Linked DNA regions of Elephas maximus indicus. The protein of the gene in region 2 purifies or fractionates together with the protein of the main gene of each other region. This does not show direct contact. Links are inferred from orthologs where the notes say so. Each region holds a gene or a part of one and is shown on either strand. Other genes may lie near its edges.

Region 1 (7,716 bases), on a different chromosome or scaffold from region 2:
ACAGTCCCAAAACCAACCAAAACCCATTGCCATCAAGTCGATTCCAATTGATAGTGACCCATAGGATAGGGTACAGCTGCCCTATAGGGTTTCCAAGAAGTGCCTGGTAGTTTTGAACTGCCAACCTTTTGGTTAGCAGCCATAGCTCTTAACCACTATGCCACCAGGGTTTCCCAACAATCCCAAAACAGCCTAACAAATGATCAAATAAAGGGAGGGAAGCACAGGAATTGCGGGAGTTCTAAAAAGGAAAAACTGACAGAGCCTGGCATCAGGGAAGTCTTCCTAGAGGAAGTGGTGATTGAACTGAGAACTAATAGGATTAACCAGAAGTGTGGGGCAGGGGTTCCAGGTAGAGGGACAGCTAAGCATAGACAGGGAGGCACAATGCTTAGGCTTTCCAAGGGCAGGGACTGGGCTTTTGCATCAGTCTCTTTGCTGAGCATCTGGACAAGATGACGCCAATAAATGGGTTGGGTGACCCCAGGCCCAGAAGTCCCTGGTTCTGCCCTCTAGGCCTCCGTGGTGTTCTCGTGTGTGAAATGGGAATCCTGGGCCTAGCTTGATAATTGCTGGGCCCAGGGGAGGGCTGAGAAGGAGGTTCCTGGGATTCTCACAGGAGGAGAGGTGAAGGTTAAAAAGGGTCAGCAGTAAGGAGGACAGGACAAAGTGGGGAAAGTGTTAGGGAGGAAGGTCCTGGCTCAAGCCCCTACTCCACATCTGACTCATGGTGTGACTACAGGAAGGTCCTCTCAAAGAGTCTCAGTGACCCCATCTGAGAAATGGAGCATGTGACAAAACTGTCACCAAAGACCCTCCCCAGCCCTGACGGGGAAACAACATGACACAAAATTATAAAAGGGTCTTTATTTGTAAAAAGTCAAAGAGGCCCCTGGGGTGGCAGGATAGGCAGGCCGGCTTCTCAGGGGTCAGGGGCATTGGGGCAGATGCGCTTGAGTGGGGGGGCGCCCTCCGAGTCCTCTGTGTCACCCTGGGCTGCCTCGGGGACAGGTGGCACTGGCTCAAAGACGGGGTAAGCTTCAGGGGCCTGGAGAGGAAGGGCGGACAGGCGTGAGCTCCACCCAAACCCAGGAGTCCAGCCTCCTAGCCTCTGCCTTCTCCAAAGCCTCCACTCCACTCCCCTCCCGGACCCAGGAGTCTAGCCCAGAGCCAGGTACCCAAGATGCAGCTTAAGTAAGGCACAAGAAAAAACAACAACGACAAATTCTGGAGAAAGAATGTGATATTTGATATTTCGGAAAAATGCATCAACATAATCCTTGTGGGAAAAATCAGAACTTTATGGGGGACTTTATTAAGCTTAAGACATTGGCCGTCGCTAAAATATCCTCTCCTTTTTGGTCCCAAGAATCCAGCCTCTAAGCTTTTACCTGTGTTCTATGTCTACATTCCCCTTCTGGACCCAGGAGTACAGCCTCCGAGCCTTTGGCTAACCCCAAAGCTTCCAACCCCTCGAAGACCTAAAAGAACAGTGTTCTGGCCTCTCTCACCTCAGCTTCCAGCAATTCTGGAACAGGCTCTTCCTTGGTCAGCATCGGGGGTTCATCGGTGCCGCCCGTAGTTATGCCCCCAGGATCTGGAAGGTCAAGTTAACAGACATTCCCTGAGCAGCCAGCAACTCTGTGGCAGTAACACAAACCAGTCAGGGAAATAAATACCAACAAGCACCAACCACGTAAGCCAGAGGGTATGGGAGAATGAGGGAGGAGCCCGCACTGTTACTGTGATCCAGAAGGCAGCACAGAGGAAGGAACATTTATGTGGGATGTTGAAGGGTGAGTAGGATTTCATCCGGCAAACAGGTGGAGCACACTTTTCGCAGAAGGAATTCATGCTTAATGAGCACAACTTCTGGGGTTGGAGTGCCTGGGTTCATATTCTGACCTTGGTCAAACTACTTAATTTCTCTAAGTCTCAGTTTCCCTGTCTGTAAAATGGGGATAACAACAGTAGTTACCACATGAGATTGTTGTGAGGATTCAGTGAGACAATACAGGTAGAGCCCTTAGCACAACCAAGTACTCAGCGGGTATCAATTAGTGCTTTTGTATTAGCAAAGGCATAAGAGTGCATGGCACATACTCGTCACAGCAAGTAGGCCCATGTCATGAGGTTGCTGGGGGAGAACAATGAGGTTACCAGGGGCCAGTTCACGAAGGGCCCTGAATGCCAAGCTGGGGAGGAGTCAAAAGCCATGGGGAGCTACTGAAGGCTTTGAAGCAGGGAAGCTGACAAGCTTGTGGTTTAGTTACTCTGGCAGTTGTGTGGAAGCAACTGGATGGGGGTGACTGCTGAGGAGGCTAGAGCCAGCAGTGCATGAAAGATGGGATGGCCAGAGCCAGGCAGAGCCTGGGGAGGGAAAGGCAGGCATCGACTGGCTATATGGAAGAGGGAGCTTGCTGTGTGACTTCGACAACTTACGTAACTTCTCTGAGCATCGGTTTCGTCATCTATAAATGGGGATCGTAATACGACACACCTTCCCATAGGGTTGTGATGAAGATTAAAAAAGATAAAGTGAGTAAAGTGCTTAGAAGCATACCTGGCGCACAGTAAGCACTCAATATATATTACCTATTATCAATACCGTGTTAATTGCTTTTATGATTATCACTCAACGAATGTTCCTTGAGTACCTACTATGTGTCACATGGTGTTCTGAGGCAATTAGTGAACAAGATCGATATGAGCCCAACTTTCATGAAGCTGCTATCAGGTGGGACTGGGGGAGAAACATACTATACTAATAAAAAGTTAAATTTACATGAAATTTCAGATCGTGATAAGAGATCTACAGACCCTAAGAAGCCAGAGGAATGAGACACACAGTAGCTAGAGATAGGGTGGTAACTTTCCACAGAAGCCAAGGAAGAGCCTCCTTGATGAGGCAACAAAAGAGGAGGAACAGACATGCAGGGAAGCTGGTGGGTTCAGCTTTGTAGCGAACAGGATTCATCAGAGGAGCGGGCTCCCAGGAGGCACCTGGTCCTACCTCTCTCCTGGCCCAGCTGTGGGGGCTGAGCCTCTTCTGGGACCCCATCTTGGGGTCCGGCAGGCGATTCAGGACGGCTGGGCTGGGGGGTGCCCCCAGGGCTGGGCTCGGTGCCCTTTTGCAGAGACCCTTCCGAATGAAAACTCTGGTTGCTGTTCTCATCTGTGGGAACAAGAACCAGAAGGGTTGGGCCTGAGGCCCCAAGTTCTCTCTTCCATGCCCCTCACCCCCTAAATCCCAGGATCCCCACATACCATTGAGATCGAGCAGGATGAGAGGACCACCCCCTCGGGGACTGGAGACCCTGCCCCGCCGCTCCCGGCCACGGGATCTTTCTGCACCACCAGCCGCCCGTCGTCGGTCCTAGGGGTTAGAGGGGTAAGGGTCAGGGCCCCAACTGCCTTTCTGGTTAGCTCTTGCAATCCTCCCACCCCGTACAGATAAGGAAACTGAGGCAGAGAGAAGCAAAAGGCCTTGCCTGAGGTGACAGAGGTTGTGCATGCTGAGTTAGGTTCTGAATTCTGGGCTCTGGAGCAGGGAAAAAGAAGGGGGCTGGGGTGGCTAATAATTGTTGACATCTGCCTAAACTGCTGCATTTGAGGTCTGAGTGGGGACTAGATGTGGAGGCCAGGGTGGGCAGGAGCTTGGCTGAGGTTGCACAGATGCAGGGTCTGGTGGAGGGGGGGCTTGCTCACCTCCTCCTGGGGGTCCACCACTGGCACCCACTTGAAGATACGAAGGGAAGTGTCGCCCACAGTCACCCAGCGCTTCTCCCTGTGGGAGGATGGGGGGTAGCTGGGTCAGAGAGGCTTGGGGGAAAAGCCCCCCAGCTGGACACATCTGGGGGTACCTGCAGAGGTGGGGGAGGGGCACGAGGGGAGGGACAGTTTTGTTAATAGGGCGTAGTGAGAGGGCCAAAGAGAGCCCTGCAGACCTCAGGGCATAGATGAGAGTGCGTCTAGGGAGGGTATGGCTTGGGACTGTGGCGCTGCAAAAATGGGGGCATGGCTCTGGGCCTGGGTGAGGACCATGGCAATGAAGATCCTGGGGCACACTTAGGATGGAGGGAGTCACAGCTTTAGGAGGCAGGGCACAAAAATTGGAGCCCTACTATGGGAGGGCACGGCTGGAGATCACCAGGGCAAGGGAGAATGAGCCCTGTCAATCCGGGGCACAGCTGGGCACACGCCTAACACCTGGGGCTACAGCTGGCATGGGGAGGGTAAATGCATTTGGGGGCGGTAGCCCTGCTATGTCCCATCCGCGTCCCTGTCGCTGAGCTCACCATCTCCGGACCTTCTCGATGGTCGCCATCACCTTCTTGATGTCATCCTTGGCCCGGCTCCGGGTCTCGGCCCGCACAGTCCGGCCCGCCATGCTGGCGGGGCTGGGACCGAGGCAGGGCCCGTGGCGGGGCCGCCTCCCGTCCGGCGGGCTCAGGCTCGGCGCCAAGCAGGGGCGCCGCTCTCCAGGCCTGCCGACCCTCCGGGAGTTGGCCGCGCCCTCCCTCGCTCCCCAACGCCTCCGCGAATCCCCGCCCCGCTTCCTGCCGCCGCGCCCCGCCCCGGCCCGTCCCCGGAGCGGCCCGGCGGCGCGGGCGGCGGGAGCCGAGGTTTGGAAGCCCGGCCGGCCCCGCCCCGACCCGGGCCCGCCCCCTCGGGGCGTCCGGACGCGCAGCGCCCCCTGCCCGCCACCGAGAGGGAGAGTTAGGGGCAGCTGGGCGACTGGACGCGCGCGACCGGCCAGAGGCGGTGCGTTCAGGCCACGTGGGCCCCGGGGATGCGCGCGGGGGTCCGTGTCCGGATGTGCGTCCCCCGCGCTTGGGCGTCCCTGAAATTCTGGGTGAGGGTGTGTTTATGTATGTGTGTGTCCACCCTCGCCAAGTTGTCTGATTCTATGTTGCCCAGCTCATCCATTCATTCAACAGTCTACTGAGTGCCAACTATGTGCCAGGTTCTGCCAGTATGAGTGGGTCTCCACCCACCGGAATGACTAAAATGAAAATGACAGACCATACCAAGGTAGGCGAGGAAGCAGAGCAAGTGGAACTCATATTTAGGCGGGGAGTTGGGGGGGTGTAAATTGGTAGAGCCACTTTGGAAAACAGGCAGTTTTCTAGTGAAGCTGGCCATATGATCCAGCAGTTCCAATCCTAAGTCGTCAACGCCCAACGGAGGTATGAACACCAAGAGATGTGTACTAGAAAGTTCATAGCACTGTTCATAATAGCCCCAAATTGGAAACAACTCAAATGCCCATCAACAGGAGACTGGAAAATGAATTGTAGCCTATTCACACCCGTGGGCACAGCAATGAGAATGATTGATTCCTGCTACACCTAACAAACCCTGGTGGCGTAGTGGTTAAGTGCTACGGCTGCTAACCAAGAGACCGGCAGTTTGAATCTGCCAGGCGCACCGTGGAAACTCTGTCGGGCAGTTCTACTCTGTCCGATAGGGTTGCTATGAGTTGGAATCGACTCGACGGCAGTGGCTTTGGTTTTTACACCCAACAACGTGGATAAGTCTCATGAACATCTGAGTGAAAGAAGACACAAGCTTCCATTTATATGAAGTTTGAAAACGACAAAATTATGGTGTGAGAAGGCAGGATAGTGGTCACCCTTGGGGGATACTGACTGGGAATGGCTAAGAGGGGGGTTTCTCCAAGCAGATCCTGTTCTGTTTCTTAATGTGGTGCTGGTTCCTTGGGCATGTTTATCATATGGGAAGTCATCAAGCTGTGTACTTATAATGTGTGCACTTTTCTGTATGTGTATTTTACTTCAATAAAAAGTTTTCTTAAAGAAAATGACTGTGTCTTGGTTGGTTTTATTGGACACCGTGCTTGTCAGCAGACCCTTGGTGAGCTTGGCGACAAACAAAAAGGTTGGCAGTTCGAATCCGCCAGCTGATCTTTAGAAACCTTATGGGGCAGCCCTACTCTGTCCTATAGGATCACTATGAGTCGGAATCAACTTGACAGCGATGGGTTTACAGGTGCTTGTCAGCAGATATAAATGTGTGTTGCTATGTGTGAGTGTGTTTCAAGGGTATGTCTGTTGTGTCTGTGCTGTTGTGTGACCGTCCGGAGGGGTTAAGGTATAGCAAGGTGATGATGAGAGCATCTCTGGAGCTAAACTGCTGGGGAGAAATCCCAACTGTGCCACACTTACCTATGTGGCCTTGGACGAGTCACTTATCTGTCTATACTTCTAATTCCTTGTCTATAGAATGGGGGTGATAATATTACCTACCTTTTTATATTGTTATAAGCATTAAGGAAACCCTAGTGGCATAGTGGTTAAGTGTTACGGCTGCTAACCAAAGGGTCAGCAGTTCGAATCCACCGGGCACTCCTTGGAAACCCTATGGGGCAGTTCTACTCTGTCCTATAGAGTGGCTGTGAGTCGGAATCGACTCGATGGCAACAGGGTGAATGAGTTTATAAGCATTAAGCAAGTTAATACATGAATACATGTATAGCTCTTAGAGCCTGCACATAATAAACCCTCAATAAATATTAACTGTGAATAAAGAGTGCAGCCTCAGTTGCACCTGCTCTGCTGTCTGCCAGTTAATCCCTGCATTCCTTTATTCTGGCAGTTTGTCTGCCCATGTCAACATCCTCACAGACACACAGTCCTTTTGCTCACAGTCTCCATTGTGTATGGTCTCTCTCATCAGACTGTGAGTTCCTTAGGGGGTCTGAGACCCCATATGGATCGTATCTGTGTCCCAGGATCCAGAGCAGAGTAGGCACTCTAGAACCATCTCTAGGGATGTGTATGCAGACCCCCTAGTGTCTATCTGCACCAGGTTAGTGGGGTTACGTGTGAGTGTGACCTCCTGCACCTGTCTCTGAAGCTTGCTCCTATGTAAGAATGAGTGTATGCATTAACTTTCAATAGATGCATGTGTGTGTGTCAGTGGGGTGAGGTGAGATGAGGTGATGTGTCTCCCTCCTGGTAGGTGTGACAACCAGCATGTGCTTGAAGAAAGGAGACGGGGAATATCAATGTGACAATGAGACTGTGCTGACTGGGTGGAACGCATATAAGATACAGGTGTGTGTCTGGGTAGGTGTGCCCCCAAGCCCTAGAGACTCCTACCGGACAACCCTCTCACCTAGCCTCCCTTTGTCTCCAAGAGGAAGGGCTTGCACATCCTCTCCTGCCAGCCCCTCAGCCTCCCTCTTTATCTCCTAGTGCCAGGCCCTGCCCCAGGTCGGTGCCTGAGCCTCCTCCTGGTGGGACGCAGGGCTGCTTCCCATGCCCCCGACCCTCGGTCCCAGGTCCCAAGCCCATAGTGCCAATAAGCTGTCCCCCCCACCCCACCCCTTAGGTCCCTCTCGGGTTAGGCTGCGTAGGCTGGGAGCTGAGCTCAGGGCCAAGGAATCTTGCCTGGGAGAGGGGGGGTGGGGCGGGTGTTTGGGGTCTGGACCATGATTGGTTGCGCCCGAGTCACGCCCCTACCCCTGTCCCCCTTCTCCCGCCTCGAAGGGGGGCGTGGAGGTAACCGAGATCGGCTAAGGGCCAGCATGAGCCGGAGGGAGGGAAGTCTGGGTAAGGGGCTGAAGGGTCAGATGCCGGGTCACTGAGGGGAGCAGGGGTCAGAAGGGCTGGGAGCTAGGGTCAGAGTCTCCGCCACCTCCGGGACTGGGAGGGGAGCGGCCTGGGCACGGGAGCTTACCCTGGTGTCAGG
Region 2 (3,600 bases):
CTCGCCAGATGTCTAGTCTCGGTAAAGAAAACAGCAGAAAGGAGGCCCTGGACATCCCAAACCAGGAAGATGAAATTCTGCTGCCACCAGCACAGATTGCCAGTGTTGGGTGCTGGGAGTGAAGGAAGCTTCCTACTCTTCCCTCAGCTATATCCTGAAATATGATTTGCAGGACCCTGTTATCGTGGCACCTGATTTCTAGCCAACAACACAGAGGGTTGTAAAATAACTGAAGGTTTATGGAGCTCAGGCCATGGAAGCAATGCCTACAGGGCTCACTAAACATGACCACAGTGTTATTTCTTGGAGGGATTTTGTGGAAGGTCAAGACTCCCCCCTAAAATTAGCCTAATGAGAAAGACACAAGGAAGTGAGGTAGGGCAAGAAGACTGAGAAAAAGCTTGTATGTTTTGATTGTAATAGGAACTGGGCACAAATGTCTTCGAGGCTTGGTGTAGGCCCTCCTTGATGGGAAGGACCAGCACTTGCCTGGTGGGGAACACCAAGACGGTATCTTTCCTTTCTGAGGAAAATATATCTGACAAAAACAAACGTGGGACTACTTAAACATTTCCATACTACACTGTCTAGCATCCTAGCCTTTCTGTCCTAGTTGAAGCCGATCCAGAGGTTAACTTTCTCTTACCTTTTGACCCTTGTTTCCTGAACCCTAAGCACAGAGACTAGAACTCCTCTCAGTAGGAGGTGTAAAGAGATCAGTGAAGGAAAAGGTAAATAACAAAGAGCTAAGAGCATGAAAGCTGAACCAGGTCACAGACTGTCAATTCCTCCAGGGCCACAGACTAAAAGCTCCTAGCCTGATCTTTCTTCCAAAAGGTCAAAGGTAGAAGCCTGGGAACCAGAGCCTCACACCGAGGTGCAGACAGGCCACAAACAGACCCAGCAGCTGTTTGTCAGAATTCCGACACCCAGGGAGACCCTGAGAACAGGGCCAGACTCATAGCCAGGATCAGAGGGGAAGTCTACCCATCACACTTCTGACAGGCTGCAAGGCTGGACAGGAAGAGTTGGAAAGTAGAAAGAGAGCCCTAATTGGGGGTAATGGGAAAGACAGGAGGCAAAGACCATCTCCAGCGAAACACCCTATATGTAAACGTTCCTTTTACCAGGCCCAAAGACAAAGAAGACACTAGGAAAAGGTTTGCTAACAGGACAGGTAAGGCTTCTTGAGTCCTTTGTTCACTACTTTATTATCTTCACTCATGGGGTTGATGGTGGGAGGCTAGTTATAAGGCTTGTCCTAGCCTCTGAACTCCAAACCCATGGCAATGCAAGGCTAGATGCTGGATGCCTTCACTGTGAAGCCAAGGAATGGTTTTAGAGGCCGCTCCCTAGAAACTCCTATACCCTGGTTCCCAAAGAGGTTTTGGTGCCTCTTAGATGGAGGCTGGGGGATGAGCGGTGGAGACAGGTGATCCCCAGATGGGGGCCTTATTTCAGGCCGATGATCAGCCAGGGGCCTGCTCTGTGGCTGTTCACGCTCCTGCTTTCATCATCTCTGAACACACACAAAGCACCAGGGAGGCCTCAGCCCTCCTGGTACCTGGCTCCGTGGGGAGCTCTGGCCGGCACTGTGGCGGGCGCGTTAGGGGGGCGCCCACTGGGTGCCCCGTCCGCCCCCTCCCCCTCCCCCCGGGCCTCTCTCCCAGAAAAGCGGGAAGCCGGTGGCTTAAGAGCGGGTGGTCTGCTTGCACCGGGGCCCGCCGGGGCAGCAGAGAAAAACAAGGGGTAGAGGGCGCAGCAGTAGGGGCGGGGGCTGGAATCCGAGGCTGGGGGTGGGGGTAAAATGGGCTGGGGGAGGGGCGCGGGGCGCCGGGCGGGGCGGAGGGCGCGCTGAGCTGCTCGGAGGTCGCGGGGGAGGGGCCGGGGGCGGCAGGAGGGTGGGCAGGAGCCCGGGGGACTGCGGGGTCGCAGCGCCTTTGTCCCGCCCCCGGCTCCCGCGCGGCCCTGCCTGTCCGGGCCGCGTACCTTCTTGTAGTTCTTGCCGAGCCAGAGCCGCACGTTGTCGAACTGGGTCACGGTGTCCGCGGCCTCGTAGTACTTCACGTTGGGGCCGCCGTCCTTCTTCCGCACCGCCATCTTCTCGGGCTCGGGCCCGCCGCCGCCGTCCGCCCCGCTCAGCTCAGCTCCCGCCTCCTCCGCCTCCTCCTCCGCCCGCCTCCCGCCGCCTCCCGCCGCCGCGGCCGCCGCCTCCCGCCGCCTGGGCCGGCCCCGGCCCGCGCAGCGCCCCCTGCCGGCCGGCCGGGCGCGGCGGCGGCGGAGAGGCTCTGCGCCGGGCCAGACCCGGCGGCCTCCCCGGCGGCAGCGGCGGCGGCGGCAGCAGCGTCGGGGGCCTCCTGGGAAGCGGCTGCTTCCTGGAGGGGGCGTCCACTCTCCTGAAAACGCCCCTTACCTGACGCGAAGCCCTTTCTCTCTTTTGCCTCAGCTCGAGGGATGGGGTACGTCTCTAACCTACTTCTAGGACGTCGCCTGAGGAATCCCAGCCTGGAGTTGTCCTCTCCTTCCTTGCACATCCGTAACCCCAGAGTCCATAATCCCAAAGAACTCCAAACCCCTTTCCACAATACATTCCTTCCATCCATCCCCAGGAACTCCCCTTTAAACTCTTCCAGAGGTTCTCACCCCTAACACCTTGTTCCGGGACCTTTCTCTTACTCCTTAGCCCGAGGAGTCCCCTAGCCGCCACCGTGGGGGCCCAGTCCCTTCCCTCCAACCGCTTCCTCTTCAGGCCTCGCCATCGCCTCCTAAGCAGGTTTGCGCTCCTTGAGACCCTGACTCTTCGCTAGGCGGGAGACCTTCCTTATCAGCCCGTCCACCGACCCTTTTCCTTTGAGTGGCGGAGAGGAGAGGTAAGGAGCCGGAGGGATATAGGGGGTGTGTGGATGGGTCGGGGTCCCACTTCTCACTGCAGTTCTTCCCCGGTCGCAATGCGGACCCCTTCTGTAAGCGCACGGCGGAGCGCGGTTTTGGGAGTCACGGTGGCCGAGTGGTTAAGGCGTTGGACTCGAAATCCAATGGGGTTTCCCCGCACAGGTTCGAATCCTGTTCGTGACGGCGGCGCTTTTTTTTTTTTTTTTTTTTTTCCACGACATGTTAAGGGAGCCCCAGTCCCCGCACATGTCTTTCTTGCATTTCCCTTTCCCTCTCGAAAAAGGAAGCTGAAAGGTTTCACCCCTGGATTTGGGGGATGGGGGCTTACGGGAAGCTAAATTTATGCACAACTGCGTTGGCTGCTAGGCTGCAAGGCACTTTCAGAATTCTATAACCAGGTTTGCTAGCAAAGCGTTTCATTTTCCTGAGGGGGGGGGATAAAAAAGGATTTGGATAAAGAAGGGTTGTTTCAGTTTTGTTTGGGAATGTGTGTGAGTGCCTATTTTGTAATGATTGTTAAACCTGGATTTCCAGGAAAAGAGGGCACCTCTGAATTTCATGACCAGAAATCACACCTTGTGCGTTGTGGGTCTGATTACACCGAGGACCCAGGAAACAGGGCATTCTTTCATTTAGATTTCCTTGAGGAAGTGTACTTCAGGCATCACAGGGCTAGGAGGGAGTAGCCTATTGAAACATAAACACTGC
Region 3 (7,716 bases), on a different chromosome or scaffold from region 2:
CCAGAGAGACTTCCCTATCAATGCCTTTGGCTCTGAACCCTCTGCTTGCCCCCTTTCCTCACACACAGCACGCCAAGCCTTTTTCCTTGTAGACCACACAACAGAGCACAGCACATTTTCAGACCCAGGTATTTACCTGGTTCCACTCCTTTATTCCCCCAAAACTAATTTGATGCCACTGATACTTACAAAGCTCCATTATACAAAGCCCTGCAAGAGATAAAGGATGTATAAGATACCAAACCCGTTACCCTGGGAGCTCGTAAAGAGTGAAAAAGGTAAGGAAACTATTGTAATACATGAAGGTGGCAAAGAAGTTGAGAAGCTCAAAGACCAAGTCAGACTAGGCCAGCCTGTGGAATGTATAACTCCTATGATTCCTGTGGAACTAGTTGGGGTGAAGTGAAGCACGACTTCATTTTAAAATAATCACAGTAGCAGGGCAGGACGCTTGCTGCTATCAGAGCTGAGCCTTACACTGGCTCCTGGAGGAAGTAAAGGCCAAGCCATGGGAAAGACTGCTTTAAGGTTTTATTTTGCAGAGGAAGTAACTTTTGATATAAGGTTTAAAAATGAGTATTTTTCCCCCCAGGCACATACCTGGGGAAAGGCACGTGACATCCCAGGGTAAGAGAGTAGACTACAGACAAGCAGAGGCGGAGAGCCTGAAGTTGTGTTTGGAGAACAGCACGTAATCGAGTTTAATGCTGGAGGTACCTGAAAAGCTGGAAAGTTCATCTGAGGCAGCTTTGGAGAAGGAATTAAGTATCAGACTGAGGAAGACACACATCCACACGCACAGCGCCAGGCTGCACGTTGCACCGTATTCTTTCACTTGCCTGTGACTTACTTGGTGTGCTTTATTATCTACCATGCGCATGCTCTTTATCTCTAATGGCTGTATGAGAGTACGGACTGCCATTTATCCGGCACATACTCCTCAGTGAAGCCAAGGGATGCTCTGCGTCACCAACCAACCGCCTGGCCTTGCCACCCACGGACTCGAACCATAAAGTAGGATGCGGAAAGCAGTAACTCTAACCCTCCTGTAGTCACAGCTCGCTTTTTGCTCCTGGGTCCCTTCTTGCACACCCTTATTAAATAATAATAATTTTTCCAGTGTTTTTGAACTATTAGCCAATTTACCAAAATATAACTTCAATAAAGATCACGGGCTATTGATGCATCTTCAAATCTCTACCATTCTATTACTACTAAAAATACAGTCAACAGAAATAAACTTATAGGTTAGCTATTCTATTTAAACAAATATCAATAAAAAATGTTCTGATAATTTTCGAGATCATCTCTAAGTCTCCAGGCTGGTCTAGGCTTGTGCTGTTATGACACTGAACAGGTTACCACAGAGCTTTCAGACTAAGACAAGGAAGAAAGGTCTGGTGATCTGCTTCTGAAAATTAGCCAGTGAAAACTCTATGGATCACAAGTGTCTGATCTGCCACCAATCGTGAGGATGGTGCAGGATCGAGCAACATTTCATGCCACTGTGCATGGGGTCACCATGAGCTCGAACCAACTTGATGGCAGCAAACAATATATCCTTACGAAGTAAAAAATAACAGAGATTAACCACTACACTCACAAGATAAAAAAAAGGCATTAGGAAGGATAAAACTCTTGCCCAAGGTCACTCTCTAGATCACTATTAAGGCCTCACAACTCTAGCTAAACCTGATTACATCAAATGCCAGTGTTCTGAAGTGGCACACAGAAGCACCTTCAATGTGCTTACGTGTGTGCGCAGAAGAAACAAGGGAGACTACCCTTTGTTCCAAAAGGTTACTTCTCTAAGTATGCCAGACACAGAATGAATTTGTTTATTCTAAGAGCCACTGGTGTCCCTATGAGGTACCTGCTGTCAGCAGGAATGAGGGCCAGACGCAGAAAGCTGCTTTGCGACAGATGTAAAACAACTCTGAAGGTTTCAAGTCCAAATTTGAGATCACACACAAAAAAAAGTAACCAATGCTCTTCAGCAAATGATGACATCACAGAAATGGAGACAGACTGTGACGTAACAGAAAGAAGGATGAACTAAAGATTCAAGAAACTGGAGTTTAGTTCCAGACAGGCCACTCCATTTCCTCATTTGTTCAAGAAATATTTAACGTACAAATTCCTGTATTAGGCCCTGGGGTTGCAGCGAGAGAGGAGATACAGGTTCCTACCCTCACAGAGTCTGCATTCCAGCTGGAAACAGACATTAAACAACTATTTCAAAATCAGCCACTTAATCATTAATTTGAAACATATAAAATTGCCATTTTTGTAGATTAAATACTCAAATATAAGGCATTTCTCAGGGTTGTGTAAAGTTCTATGAAGCAGACCCGACCTAGATTGAGAATTTTGAAAAGTATCCCTGAGAAGCCAACTTTTGAACTAAGCTCTGGGAGTTAACCCAGGAAGGGGGTGGAGAGAGGGGAGGAGGAAGGATGCCTGGCAGCAGAACAGGAGTGTGCGACAACAGCCTCCTGGCAAAGAGGGCAGTTTGAGCGAGACAGGCAAGGCAGGAAAGATCTGCTTTGGTCTTTATCCTGAGATAAGAAGACAAGAGGCCACTGAAGCGTTATTTTCTAACCAGGGGATGCTATGGTAACATTTTCACTTTAAAAAGATCACTCTGGTAACTGAAAATAAGAAAAACGAAATCGTTCCGACTGCAATGTGAAGTAGGGACTGGGTAGGCGGCCAGTGTAGAAGCAGGGAGATGACGGAGGCGCTGGTGCCGATGTCTAGGTGAAGATGATAATCTGGCCTCGGTGACAGGTGAGGACAAAGATGTCGAGGAGAAAAAAAAGGTGTACCGATTCTTACGTTTAACCAAAACCTAGGAGAATTAGATTTAGAGAGGAAAAATCATTTAATTTCGGAGTCCCAAATAAGAAGCTTTCTCTTGTTGGGAAATAGACAAACACACGAATACAGACCTGAGTAATGATGTCCCCAAAAGGGTGGAGGGTGAGGGGTGACGGGCTGGAGAAGGCCTCCTGGAGGAAACTAAGACCCATCCATCGGGGCTTCTGATAGGGAAAAGGGGAAGGAAAGGGCTCAAGGAGGCATCAAAAAGTCGCCCGTGAGTGTTAAATGCGATAACGCACCCGAGTTCCTGCTACAAGACAGGCGCTCATTCCGTCTCCAAACAAGGGCTAGGCCCAGGCCCCTCCACCAGCAGCCCCCAGGGCACGAGAAAGTACCAGCGGTACATCTGGACCGTACGCCTCGGAGGTGCACCTGGAAAGTACACCTCGGAGGTACGCCTGGGAGGTACACCTGGAACGTGCACCTGGGAGGTACGCCTGGGAGGTGCACCTGGAACGTGCACCTGGGAGGTACGCCTGGGAGGTGCACCTGGAACGTGCACCTGGGAGGTACGCCTGGGAGGTACACCTGGAACGTGCGCCTGGGAGATACCTGGGAAGTGCACCTGGAACGTACACCTGGGAGGTGCACCTGGAACGTGCACCTGGGAGGTACGCCTGGGAGGTACACCTGGAACGTACACCTGGGAGGTACACCTGAAAGATGTCAGGGGAGGGGACGGGGCCCGATGTCCGCGGCCAGGCTGGCTTCCGCCGGCAGGCAGAATTACGGAGGGCTCTTACCCAACTTAAGTGAGTTAACACAGAAAGCCATCAGGCCGTCACACTGGACGCTCAGCGCTCGCGAGCCTTTGTGACGGGGCAGCTGAGAAACAAGCCCGAGCACGCCGGGCGGCGGCGAGAACGCCCCGGTAAGCGAGAGGGCGCGTTCGTCCGGTCCGCGCGGGAACCCTGCCGCCGCGCAGAGCGCAAGACCCGGCAGACCGAGCGCTGACCGGAAGCCGGCAGCCCCTCCCGGGCGACGCGCAGAGCGCAAGGCCCGACGGACCGAGCGCGGACCGGAAGCCAGCAGTCTCTCCCGGGAGACGCGCGGCCAGGTGGGCGGGCCCACGAGCCGGGCCGCCCGCTCATTGGTTGCAGCCGGCGCGCCCCCTGACCTCACGCCGACGCGGGCAGTAGCCACCTCCCGCTTCCTGCTTGCCCCCTCCCCCAGCGCCCGCCAGTTCGGCGCTCCCCGGGGCCGGCCCCCCAGGAGCCGCCGCCCCAGCCCCTCACCATTTCCGCACTTTCTCGATGGCCGCCATCACCTTCTTGATGTCGTCCTTGGCGCGGCTGCGGGTCTCGGCCCGGACCGACCGGCCCGACATGGCGGCGGCGGGGGCTGGGGCTCTGCTCCCAGGACACGGGATCGCGCGCCGCCCGCCGCCCACCGCCCGCAGCCGCAGCGTCACCGCCGCCCTGGCCCCCTCCGTGCGCGCGTGCGCGGGGAGCGCGCGCACCCGCCCGCCCCTTGGGGCTCGAGGCCTCAGCGCGCTTGCGCGCCCGCCCGCCGCCGGCGGCCCCCGCTGGGCGCCCCGCAACCCCTTAGCCCCGCGCAGGCCGGGTGCGCGGCGAGCGGGCGGCACGTGCAGTGGGCAGGGCGAGGTGCGAGGCCCCGGCTCTTCAGGGGTCAGAGGCCAGCACCTGCCGGAGCGGCTCCTGCGGCTTCCAGCCTGTGGCCTGGACGCTGCGGGCCCCGGGCGCCTGGCCTGCCCCGGTCAGCGCCCAGCTCCCCGGAGAGGTCCCAGAGCGGGACACCTTTCCCCAGCAGGCCGCTGACCCTCGCACACACCTGATCCCTGCAGCTGCCTCTTCGCTGCCGACATCCAGCTAAAACTCAGACACCTCCTCCGAATTCCGTGGGGTCCCACCTTATTCTGCAGTCTTTGAGTGCGACCCACCTACACTACCACCTTGTTCACACTTGATCCCTTGTCTCATTTCGTGCAGCAGCTGACTAAATGATGCCGACTTCTGCAAAGTTCTGTGCTAAGTGCTGAGGACACAAGGATGTGTATTTCGCACCGTGAACTCCCGGGTTAGTAGAACGTGCAAATCAGAAGAGGTATTTAAAATGTCATGTGATACTTGCTGGCTAAGAGAAGTATAGGGTGCTTTGACAGCTCGAAGTTAGATGGGGGCTTTCCAGAAAGCTTGGGGAGGAGAGAAAGTGAGCTTGAAGCTGATCTCTGAAAACAGGGTAGATGCTATTGTTCCAAGGGCTAACAGTGTCCACAGGCATTGAAAATGCTCCTTAGACGTTTATCGACACAGCTAATAGGCAGAGCAGATGGAAGCTTTGCAGGTACGAGGGTCAAGAATAGCTTCTACCTGACTGAGGAGTGGAAGAGCTGCACCAGCAAGTGGAGGGAAAAGCTGACTGAAGAAATAATGGGATCAAAGGTGGCACACCTATTTCTCAAACCCAACTGATCCAAAATCACCCACCGCCTGAGCTCTGCCATGTGCCCCATAGCAGAGGACACTGTGGGTGATGCAAAGATGGGTAAGACACTCCCTGCCCTCCAGCTGAGGATAAGGAAAGCAACAGGAACATAAAACATAAGGCAGAACATGTTAAGTGCCAGAGAGAGGCCAGGTTTCTAGACGCCTCCAATTCTGTTCATAGGTTTCCCTGGTGCAGGCATACAGCCCAACACCTGGCGGTTATGTCTAACCTCTGTCTCACCCTTGTCCAAGTCCTGACCAGCCTCCCCCTGGCCTCTGGAGGTTTCTGGCCTGTAGTTTCTTTCCACCTAACAGCTGCCCTGGTCTCTGGCGGCATCCAACCCTCCTCCAGCCCACGCTGCCCCACTGCCAGTCAGTCACTTTTTCTGACCAGGCCATCCCCAGCTCCAAAGTCCCAGTGACCCATGTTAACTGCTCACATTTGTTCGCCCCCATCTCCCACTGCAGCTTTGTCTGTGTGAGAGAGTATCAAAGCAGGCACATACCAACTATTCCCCACAGACCACACAAATGGTGACCTCTTTTTCTTTTTGAAAGTCACGCCTTGACATTTTTGAGGTGAAAGCCTGTTGCTGGATCCTGAGGGGGATGCAGAGATCAGCCAGCCCAGGCCTCGTCCCTGAAGAACTTGCACTCAAGGCAATGGTTTCCCTTCTCAGAGGAAAAGCTATAGTGGCCTCGATGCCTCGCACCATGTGCCTGCCACACCCCTCCCAAGAATTCTCTGACCTCACCTCCTATAACTTTCTCCTTTGCACTCTCCAACTGCTCTGGCCGCCTTGCTAATCTGAAAACATTCACTCAAGCTCCTGCCTCAGGACCTTTACACTGGAGGTTCTTCTGCCCATCCCCCATATATGTGCATGGTTCACTCCCTCACCCCTGCCTTTAATCTTTACTCAAATGTTCTCAGTGCAGCCTTCCCTGCCCACCCTACCTAAGGCTGCCACATCTGTTCCACGCACATTCCCTATCTCCCCACATTTTTCTTTGGAGCATTCATCATCTAAAATACTATTTGTTTATGTTGGTTATTATCTATCTCCCGATTTCAGTTGCTCCATGAAGGTAGCAACATGGTCCATTAGTTCACTGATTGTCCCCAACACCTAGAACAGAGCCGGGCACTCAGTAGGTACTCATAAATACTTGTTGAATGAGTGAATGACCAACATCAATGCTTCCCCCTTCCATAAACCCTTCCCAGATCACTCCAAGCAGAAGGAAAGAGACCTTCCTCCCATGAACCCCCACAGGACTCTGAACACATTCTGTATTATACCCTGAACTCTCCTAAAAGGCAAGGATTTCCAAGGCAGTCTAGACAAAAAGCCACCCTGAAGACCACTGGTAGCTAAAGAAACCTGTTTGAGGAGAAGCCTCATGGTGTAGGAGTCTCAAACACGCTGAGGTTCCTCTCTCTTTCCTCCTTCATAGGTTAAGATGGGGGAAAGAGGATAAGAATCAATGTCTCCCTCCTTTCTGCAAAAGCCACTGGAAGGTCTACTCCTGTGTCAGGCCACAGAAACCAAAACACAGTGCTGAGGAGCAAAGAAGACGTGAGATGTTGTGAAGGATTCCCCGGGCACTCTAAGCAGCGACGGTGGAAACCCGTGGAATTCACTGAGAGAAGTTTCAGGGGCTAAAAAATGGAAATGATTCAAGGAGGCCTTCAAAACTTTCACAGGGGGTGGTTCCCTGGTACGTTGTTAATGCGAAGTACCAGGAAGCCAGAAACAAGAACGCGGCCAATGAGGACACAGCATAGGCAGAGAGAGCCCAGTGGTGCCCCGACGACCATGAGGCTCACCCAAGAAAGCTGTTAGAATGCAGATTCCTGGGCCCTATCACCAAGGTTTTGTCTCCATGGTTCTGTAGATGGCTTGTGCATGTGTTTTGTTTTGTTTTTGTTTAAAGGTATACAGTTAAGTTTAAAAGTTAAAAAATAAACAAGTCCCTCCCTCCTGATCCTGCACTCACCCTGTCCTTGTCACCCTCTGCCTAACCTTCCAGAGACAGTCTACACTGATACTGTCAACGTTGGCTGCACCTGGGGAACTCCAAAAAAATACCGATGCCGGGGCCCACCCCGGAGGTTCTGGTTTAGTGGTCCGTGGTGCAGCCTGAACGTTGGGGTTTGTTTTTTAAGGTTTCCAGATCACAGTCTTGTACAGCTGAGGTTTCGAACCATTGGTCCACATATTTACAAACATATATCCAAAAGTACATATTCCTTTCTTTTTCTACACAGATTGTAGCACACTCCGCACTAGTCTGCACCTTGATATCTCATGTAGTATATCATTGTATTAGCTTTCAGTTGCTGCTGTGACAAATTACCACATATTTAGTGGCTTAAAGCAAC

The links. The genes of interacting proteins can lie anywhere in the genome.
Region 1: the proteins of SMARCC2 (region 2) and BCL7C purify together in Homo sapiens (affinity purification with mass spectrometry; 4 studies listed by BioGRID and IntAct, counting the BioPlex papers as one, with this or other methods). This does not show direct contact. The link is inferred for Elephas maximus indicus from reciprocal best matches to the Homo sapiens genes SMARCC2 and BCL7C.
Region 3: the proteins of SMARCC2 (region 2) and BCL7B purify together in Homo sapiens (affinity purification with mass spectrometry; 3 studies listed by BioGRID and IntAct, counting the BioPlex papers as one, with this or other methods). This does not show direct contact. The link is inferred for Elephas maximus indicus from reciprocal best matches to the Homo sapiens genes SMARCC2 and BCL7B.

What each region holds. Positions count from the first base shown.
Region 1 is NC_064830.1:90,162,156-90,169,871, forward strand, and holds BCL7C (B-cell CLL/lymphoma 7 protein family member C), read right to left. Parts: upstream 4,624-7,716; 5' UTR 4,391-4,623; coding exon 4,299-4,390; intron 3,788-4,298; coding exon 3,709-3,787; intron 3,377-3,708; coding exon 3,268-3,376; intron 3,176-3,267; coding exon 3,014-3,175; intron 1,598-3,013; coding exon 1,512-1,597; intron 1,049-1,511; coding exon 923-1,048; 3' UTR 840-922; downstream 1-839. Other genes in the region: CTF1 (cardiotrophin-1), read left to right, coding at 7,553-7,577. UniProt on the Homo sapiens protein: May play an anti-apoptotic role.
Region 2 is NC_064822.1:116,161,963-116,165,562, forward strand, and holds the start of SMARCC2 (SWI/SNF complex subunit SMARCC2), read right to left. Parts: upstream 2,170-3,600; 5' UTR 2,101-2,169; coding exon 1,990-2,100; intron 1-1,989. UniProt on the Homo sapiens protein: Involved in transcriptional activation and repression of select genes by chromatin remodeling (alteration of DNA-nucleosome topology).
Region 3 is NC_064830.1:110,067,825-110,075,540, reverse strand, and holds the start of BCL7B (B-cell CLL/lymphoma 7 protein family member B), read right to left. Parts: upstream 4,296-7,716; 5' UTR 4,211-4,295; coding exon 4,119-4,210; intron 3,749-4,118; exon of another isoform or gene 3,534-3,748; intron 3,495-3,533; exon of another isoform or gene 3,393-3,494; intron 3,341-3,392; exon of another isoform or gene 3,266-3,340; intron 1-3,265. UniProt on the Homo sapiens protein: Positive regulator of apoptosis. Plays a role in the Wnt signaling pathway, negatively regulating the expression of Wnt signaling components CTNNB1 and HMGA1.